2 linked regions of the Caenorhabditis elegans genome follow. The protein of the gene in region 2 purifies or fractionates together with the protein of the main gene of each other region. This does not show direct contact. Each region holds a gene or a part of one and is shown on either strand. Other genes may lie near its edges.

Region 1 (3,922 bases), 7.6 Mb from region 2:
CAGTCGATGGAGAGAAACGCCGGCTGAAATTCGTAGGTTGTCTTCGTTTCGTTCGGCAATCTTTATAAGGTAATTACCTTATTCCTTAAGGTCTTCAAATATGCCTGAATTGTGCCAAAAGCCGCGTTTGTCGTCTCTTGAACAATACAATTTTGAACAATATTTCGTTTTTTCTCATCCCTCCAATTCTTTTTGAGCAACCTGGAAAAATGTGCAACTTTCGGCGATGCCTGGCAACTAGAGCTTCCATGAAGGTTTTAAAACACCTGTCTGCCAGACCTTAAGGCGACCTACGCCTGCCTCTCGCCTCAATACGCGCCTTATGCTGAAGTTCACAAGAACATTTGATTTTCAAAAATTGATAGGAATCAGAAAATTCACGTCAAAATGCAGAAAATAGGCGAAAGGCCGGAGTGAGGCGGGTAGATTTCAAGCAGGCGTCAGGCCCATGGGAGCCTTACTAGCAACTCACTTCATATTGATTTCCTGTGAGAATTCCAGGACCTTCGTCAGAGTAACCTCTCGGAATTTTTTGATTGGAATATTTCCGACTTCCGGGTCAATTAGCTCGTTGACTTCGAATATTAATCCTTTTCTGAAATTGATTTTTCGAGTTGCCGATAAATTTTAGAATTTTAGAATTTTAAATACCGATTTTCGAAAAATATGCGAATTTTCATTGCGGCTAATGACTGGGATCGAAGAAGAATTTCACGGTTGTTTTTGACGTGATGATGGTATTTTTCGATTTCTGAAAATAAAGTTCAACAGCTTCAAGCCTTTCAGAGCAATTGGTTCTACGTGGCCGCGATATAAAAAACTCGGCCATCGCCCTTAAAACAATCGCAAGTCAATGTTCAAAATGTTTCAGAAAGATGTGACATGATAAATCAAAGATAAATTGCTGGCCGAGTTTTGCGTTTTCTAGGCCATGTAGCAAAAACCACTATGTCAACTCACTATTCAACCTTGCGAGCTCATCTTTTACTCTTTTCTGATACCCATCTGCCACGTTTTCTATCAACGCGTATCTTTCCGCACAATCCATGAGCTCCTCCAGTTCTTGAGCAATTCTCTCGTTTTTCGGGCTCAACCTGGAAAACTCGATTTTGTACTCCTCTCGAATACTTTGACTTACTTATGAACCCTCTGAAAACTCCATTCAACACGTGGCTTCAATGGATGCTTCTTGAGCACGTAGTACCATAACTTGGCCACATAAATGCTCTCATCGCGATTTTTTTCGCGGAGCCGCCGGAATTTTTTCTTGGCCTCCTGTTGCTCAACGTGCCATTTTAGGAATTGTTTACGACAGATTTTTGGGATTTTTCGGCTTTCCCGCCGGAGCCGGTCCTCGTAGGCAAGTTGATGCCAACTTTTCTGCTCAACGACTCGGTGGATTGTCAGGTAGCGGGTGTGCTTTCGGACTGAAAAATTTTGGGTTTTTTTAAAATTGTTGGAATTTTGAAATTTTCAAGATGTAGACATGTCGAAAATCTTAAAAATTTCAAGATTTTTGCTATTACAGTTTGAATATCGGCAAATTTTGGTTTACCGAGCTTCTGCCAAAACTTCCAGTTTCAGAAACTTTTAAAACGTTTATTCACGAAGTTTTTTGCCAACTTTTAAATTTTCAAGTTGCAAAAAATCCAAAAATTAAAAAAAAACTTGTGCAAAAATCTGAGATTTCTAAAATGCCAAATTTGTGATAACTCCAAATAATTTTTAATCGACAATTTGTTTTCATTTCCCAGTTGCCGAAAACTCAAAAGTTCCATAGTAAAGAGTACTTACGCTTGAAATGCTCTTTTTCCAGTAGATTCGGCATTAGTAACGGGCGGCTCGGAGCAAAATGAGACCTGTGGAGCACCCCCGGGCTCAGAGGCGTTCAAGCAGAAACGTTGGACCGGAAATCAGGTTAGTGGGAAAATTAGGAATAAGCACATGGAATTTTAATTATAATAGTAATACATTAAATGTGAAAATTTCCGGCAAATCGGCAAACCGGCAAAACGGCAATTGCCGCCTACCCTTGATCTGATTAATAAATTTGAAAAAAAAACTGGGGTATCCAGTACATTTTATAGATCTTACTTTTTTCAATAAAAAATGTGTTTTATATGCATTCATTTTATTTTAGTTTTGATTGCGCTTTGAACTTTTAACGTGAAAAATATATAAAAATCAACTTTTTTTAATTAAAAAAATTGAATTTTGAAAAAATGTATTTCAAAATTCCAAAAGGATTCATTTCTCTATTAGCAAATCAGTTCCAATCGATTTCGTGATCAGAATCAGTATGGAAGAAATTCAAGCGATCAAAGAAGGAAAAGTGAGTTTCTGTGAAGCAGGAAATTCACAATTTCCCTCAATTTCAGATAATCGCAAAGCGTTGGAAAATCGTTGAAAAACTCGGCGAAGGTGGTATGGGTGCAGTGTTCAAAGTCCGAGACCTGACCCGCTTCCAGACGTACGCCGCAATGAAGGTCGAGGGGGACGTGAGTGACGGAGGTATTCTGAAGCTGGAGGCTCACGTGCTCAAATCACTGGCTCCACTGCCGTTTTGTGCAAGATTGATGGATGCTGGCGATCGAACATCGTATTGTTTCATCGTGATGACACTTCTTGGGAAGGATCTGATGGCTCATAAACGGGATGCGAACACTCCGAGATTCTGTGAGCAGACGACTCTTCGTCTCGCGATGGCCACTTTGTTCGCTATCAAACAGATTCATGAAGTGGGATTCACTCATCGGGATATTAAGCCGGGAAATTGTGTGACCGGAGTTCATGGGAGTGACGCTAAAAACGTCTATCTTATTGACTATGGTAATTTTTTTGAAGGTGTTTTCGCTTTAAAACTACGGTATCGGGTCTCGACACGACAATATTTTGTTCAAGGCGAAACGGTGTGTGCCTTTAAATGAGTACTGTAACTTTCAGTTTTTCTCTCTGTTGCTTTTCTTCTCGAAAAAAGCGTAGATTATGAAAAACTGGGATTTAAAGCAGGGGTGTGCGGCAAATTTGCCGAATATGCCGAATTTGCCGTTTGCCGAGCTCGGCAAATTTCGAAATTTGCCGCACACGTCAAAAAATTGACAGTGCAATTTTGACTAAAACCATTGATTTTTTCGCCAAAAATTTAGTAAAATGACACAAAATTGAGTTATTTTGATGCTTAAGCAGACATACTACACTGAACTTATTCAGAAACCAGATGAGTGTTAAGAATTCAGTAGTTTTGGTGCTCCAAAAAACATCAAAATGTATCAAATTTTTCCGAGTTTGCCGAGCTCGGCAAATTTTGAGATTTGCCGCACACCCCTGATTTAAAGTAATCTTAAAAGCCTTGTCGCACCCGACACACAAGTTCGTCGTGTCGAGACCCGAAACCGTATTTTTGGCTGAAAAATCACACCACACTTTGTTCAGGCATGGTCCGCCAATTCACCGCCAAACGAGAGAACGGAGAGGCCGCACTCCGCAGAGCTCGAGCCGGCGAGCAACTCTTCCGTGGAACTCCTCGATACTGCAGCATGAACGTTCACAATCGGACGCGTCGATGATCTCTGGTCGTGGCTCTACATGCTCATCGAGCTTCATTGTGGGCTCCCGTGGCGCCGACTGACCGATGAGAAGGAGATTATGGACGCGAAGATTGCATGCTCCATGGAAACTTTGTTGAAAGGGTGTCCCAAGGAATTTGCGAATATTCACAAGTACCTGGAGACACTGGAATACAAGAGCCGCCCGGATTATTTCGGCCTGTGGAGCGAGTGCTTTGCCGGTTTCAAGAGAGTCCGTGGATCGTTCTTTGGCCGATTCGAGTGGGAGCTTGGGAAGGGCGGTGTTGAGGAGATGTTCACGGCTCTGTCGATCAGTGAGAAGAGAGCTCCGAATGATTACAAGGTGGCGACAAAGA
Region 2 (3,922 bases):
TTAAGGCCTGTGAGATGTCGGCCGCTATAACTTTGTCCAGAGTGGAGATATCAGGTTACGTCAATTGACAAAATGCTAACCTTATTTCGGTGCGTATTTTGTTTATTGCCACCTTTTGTCGAACTCCACTCTTCATAGAGTTACAGTGGCCGATACCTCATGAGTTGACTAGGCAACTGAGGCCTGTGAGATGTCGGCCGCTATAACTTTGTCCAGAGTAGAGATATCAGGTTAGTATCAACTGACAAATTGATAGTCTTGATGAGATCTGCATTTTGTTTCTTGACAACTTTTGTCTAACTCCACTCCAAACAAGATTAAAGCAACCGACACCTCACAGGGGATTTTTGAAAATTGAGACCAGTGAGATGTCGGCTGCTATAACTTTGTCCAGAGTCGAGATTTCATAATAGTGTCAATTGACAAAATTATAACCTTATTTAGGTGTGCATTTTGACTCTCGACACATTTTGCCTAACTCCAGTCTGACCAGAGTTTGAGCGCCCGACACCTCATGGGTTGACAATTAGTACTCACCACTGAAATTTAAAATGCCCAATCTTATAAACCCCGACATCAGTGTATTCCAGACCATCAGGAATTCCAAAAACCCATTCCAGTTGACTACTCTCTCCAATCAATTTAATCTTCGGGTATTGAGAGTCAAAATTGACAAAAATTGATTTAACAGGAATACTCGCAATTCCAAGAGAACGTTTGATTTGATTAGAGGAAAATGATAACTGGAATCTGCAAATTTTCGGGGGGTTTTTCGGGTTTTTTTTTCTGAAAATTTCTTACATTTCTTTCAAGGTCAAGTGTTTATAGATCTCATTCAGGCAGACATATCCCAGATGGTGAAATGGGAACTCGTCTCCCATAGTATCTGAAATAAACATTTGGCTTGATCTCCAGGAATCGCAGGATTTTGGAAAAAATACATGACGTCACGTCATCGCAAATCTGCCGCGAGTTTTGTAGATCATACTTCATATGGAATATATGATTTTCCATTTTTCAAAAAATTTTGAAATCCCGGAAAAATAGTGACATAGACGTGAATAAAGAGATGGCGTGGCAATACTAGGAAATCGATTAAAACTGCACGTATTATATTTGTTTTTTTTCTCTTTTTCTCTTCAGCTCTCAGCATCTCTCTCTCTATCGCTATACGTATCACTATGGTAACAAAGAGGCTTTTCCTATTTTCTTTCTTGCTATTTTCTTAACTTTCGCTTAGCTTTTGGCTTTATAGTTTACAGAAAATCGATTTTTTTCAAATTTCTTGATTTTCTATGCAGAAATTGGTTTAGTAATTCGAAACCTCGTCCGATAAATGATTTATAAGTGAACGTATACTAGAAATTGTATATGTCCACGAGAAAGTGCGTTATTAAACGCGCGGGTCTTGCCACGATCGAAACTTTAGCAGCTACCGTACTCGCGCGTACGGTGGTTTTTAAATTTCATCGATTCACAACACTTTAGCAACGAAATGCCTGCGTCTTCTCTAGGCCACTTTTTTGCAATGTTTCCGCCGCCCGGTTAGCTCAGTCGGTAGAGCACCAGACTCTTAATCTGGTTGTCGCGGGTTCGAGCCCCGCATTGGGCTTATGTTTTTTATTTTTTTTAAATAAACACAACTCAACGTTTTATTCGTCCACCACCACTCCTTTACTCTAAACCCCAGCTGTCAGTTTCTACTGGAAGAGGGGTAACATGTACTTAGACTCCAACTACAAAACGTCCTGCGTCTCTCTTCTCTTTTGGTTCATTTTCTCAGCACTCTCTCATCCCAACACACCCTCTCGCACAACACGCCAGTCATTTAGAAACACGCTTTACATCAACTTCATGTACTTTTCACTTTACATCGAATTTTATGTTCTGAAAATTGATTAATTTAAACTTAAAAATTACCAGGATGGAAGCAGAGCCGTTGGAAACGGAGCAAGATGAATGGCGAAAAGAAAGAATGCGAGTTTTGGACGAGTGGTGTGAGGTACGTATTTTTAAAATTATTTTTCAAAAGTGTTTCACGTTTTTAATAGATTTTCTAAAGTTTAATTTTAATTTTTAAATTTTAAATACGAAAAATCATAGAAATTTTAATGTTTCGCTTAAAAATCGATATCAGCGAAAGCTTTTGAATATTTTTTGAGTTTTTGCGAAACAAATTTTTCCCAAAAAAATTCTAGAATTTTGTAAATAAACCAAGAAACAAATAAATCAATTTATCCTACTGTAACCTTAAAGGCGCATGCACTGAAAATGTGGATGGGTCTAACAGCGAAAAATTAATTTTTGACGAATATTGTGTATGCGCCTTTAAATTTACAGTAGGAAAATTAGAGATTAAATTTTTTGAAAGTTTAATTTCAAAAAACTAAAAAAAACTTTTAAACACTCGAATTTTCGTACTGTAAACTTAAAGGCGCATACACAGAAAATGTGGATGGGTATCACAGTGGAAAATGTATTTTATACAAACATTGTGTATGCGCCTTTAAATTTACTGTAGGAAAATTAGAAAATAAATTTTTAGAAGCCTGATGGCAGAAAAAAAGAAAAAAACTAGAATTTCCTTGAAATCTGGAGATTTTTTTGTGAAATTTAAATTTTCCAGATCGAGCTAAAAGGCGCAGACGCTCTCAAAATGGATGTAACCCGTGAGCCAGGCTCCCCCACAGTTGCCGTCGCCCCAGAAACTTCTCTTCAAGACCTCTACCCCCTTCTAATTGCCACGTCATCGTCCAACGCACCACCAAGTGCCACGCCCACCGATGACGTCACAGATCCAGAAGTACAAGTAGTTTCCCGGGAATCAATCGATAATCGATCAACATTCAATCGGATAATTGACGTTTGTCTGTGCAGGCCTGTAAAATCACAAATGGGCCCGAAAGCCTATACGGATAAAACGCTAATTTTAAAACTCGCTCAAATACCCTATGATCATGAAAACGGAACACACTGGCTTCTCCTCTCGGACTACTTTAACAATGTTTCAAGATCCCTGATGACGTCATCAGAATACTCTCACGTCACTAATCCGTCACGTGTTGGCGCGCATTGGGTTACTGTAGGCTTTCAGTCGGCGACACCGCACACGGATTTTCGAGGTTGCGGAGTTCTTGGCCTACTTCAAATGCACACTTTTACGCAGAGAGTACCGGCGAATTTACTTCGAGCAATTGTACTTCTTGCCACTACTGAACCGAATGTTAGTTTTTTATTGGGATTTTTGAAAAAAGTTGTAATAGAGCGCGCTTGCAATTTTGACAGTTTCAATTCGGAAAATTTGCAATTTTTATCAAAAATACGGTGTCCGGTCTCGAAACGACGAATTTGTGTTAAATGAGAAATGGTGTGCGCCTTTAAATAGTACTATAGTTTCAAACTTTTGTTTCAGCAGAATTTTCGCGAATTTTATGTGTTTTTATTGTTACATTTGAGTTTTTTCAATAAAGAATTTTTTATTATCGAAAAACTATTTAAAAAAACGATTAAAATTTTGCAGTAACGAAAGTTTGAAACTACAGTACTTTTTAAAGGCGGACACCCTTTCGTATTTAACAAAAAATTGTCGTGTCGAGACCAGATACCGTATTTTTGGCAAAAAAATGTTTCAATGCAATCGCGCTCCGTGCACTTTTTTAAAAAACCAATAGAAAATTTTCCAGGATTTCCCACTTGCCGTTGTTTCAATCAATATTACGAGTATTTTATTAACACAACTGAAGAAAGGAGCTCTTGATAAGTAAGTCTGCGCAAAGGGCGCTTGCTGACGCGTTTCTCGTGCCACTTGGTTTTTTTTGAAAAGAAAAAAAAACAGCACACAAGAAACATGGCATTTTCCTAAAAGTTTGAAAAAAAATTGTTTAAAAGATATTATACCAAAAATTCACAGAACTGGCAAAAA

What was found.
Region 1: the proteins of hecw-1 (region 2) and dhc-4 fractionate together in Caenorhabditis elegans (co-fractionation; one large-scale study listed by BioGRID). This does not show direct contact.

The regions. Positions count from the first base shown.
Region 1 is NC_003281.10:10,967,850-10,971,771, reverse strand, and holds the start of dhc-4 (Dynein heavy chain linker domain-containing protein), read right to left. Parts: upstream 1,829-3,922; coding exon 1,795-1,828; intron 1,428-1,794; coding exon 1,139-1,427; intron 1,095-1,138; coding exon 961-1,094; intron 752-960; coding exon 652-751; intron 596-651; coding exon 473-595; intron 202-472; coding exon 78-201; intron 24-77; coding exon 1-23.
Region 2 is NC_003281.10:3,387,998-3,391,919, forward strand, and holds the start of hecw-1 (E3 ubiquitin-protein ligase hecw-1), read right to left. Parts: upstream 1,925-3,922; 5' UTR 1,921-1,924; exon of another isoform or gene 1,897-1,920; intron 1,632-1,896; exon of another isoform or gene 1,535-1,631; intron 887-1,534; 5' UTR 882-886; coding exon 802-881; intron 751-801; coding exon 538-750; intron 1-537. Other genes in the region: elmd-1 (ELMO domain-containing protein C56G7.3), read left to right, coding at 1,925-2,002, 2,627-3,223, 3,684-3,760.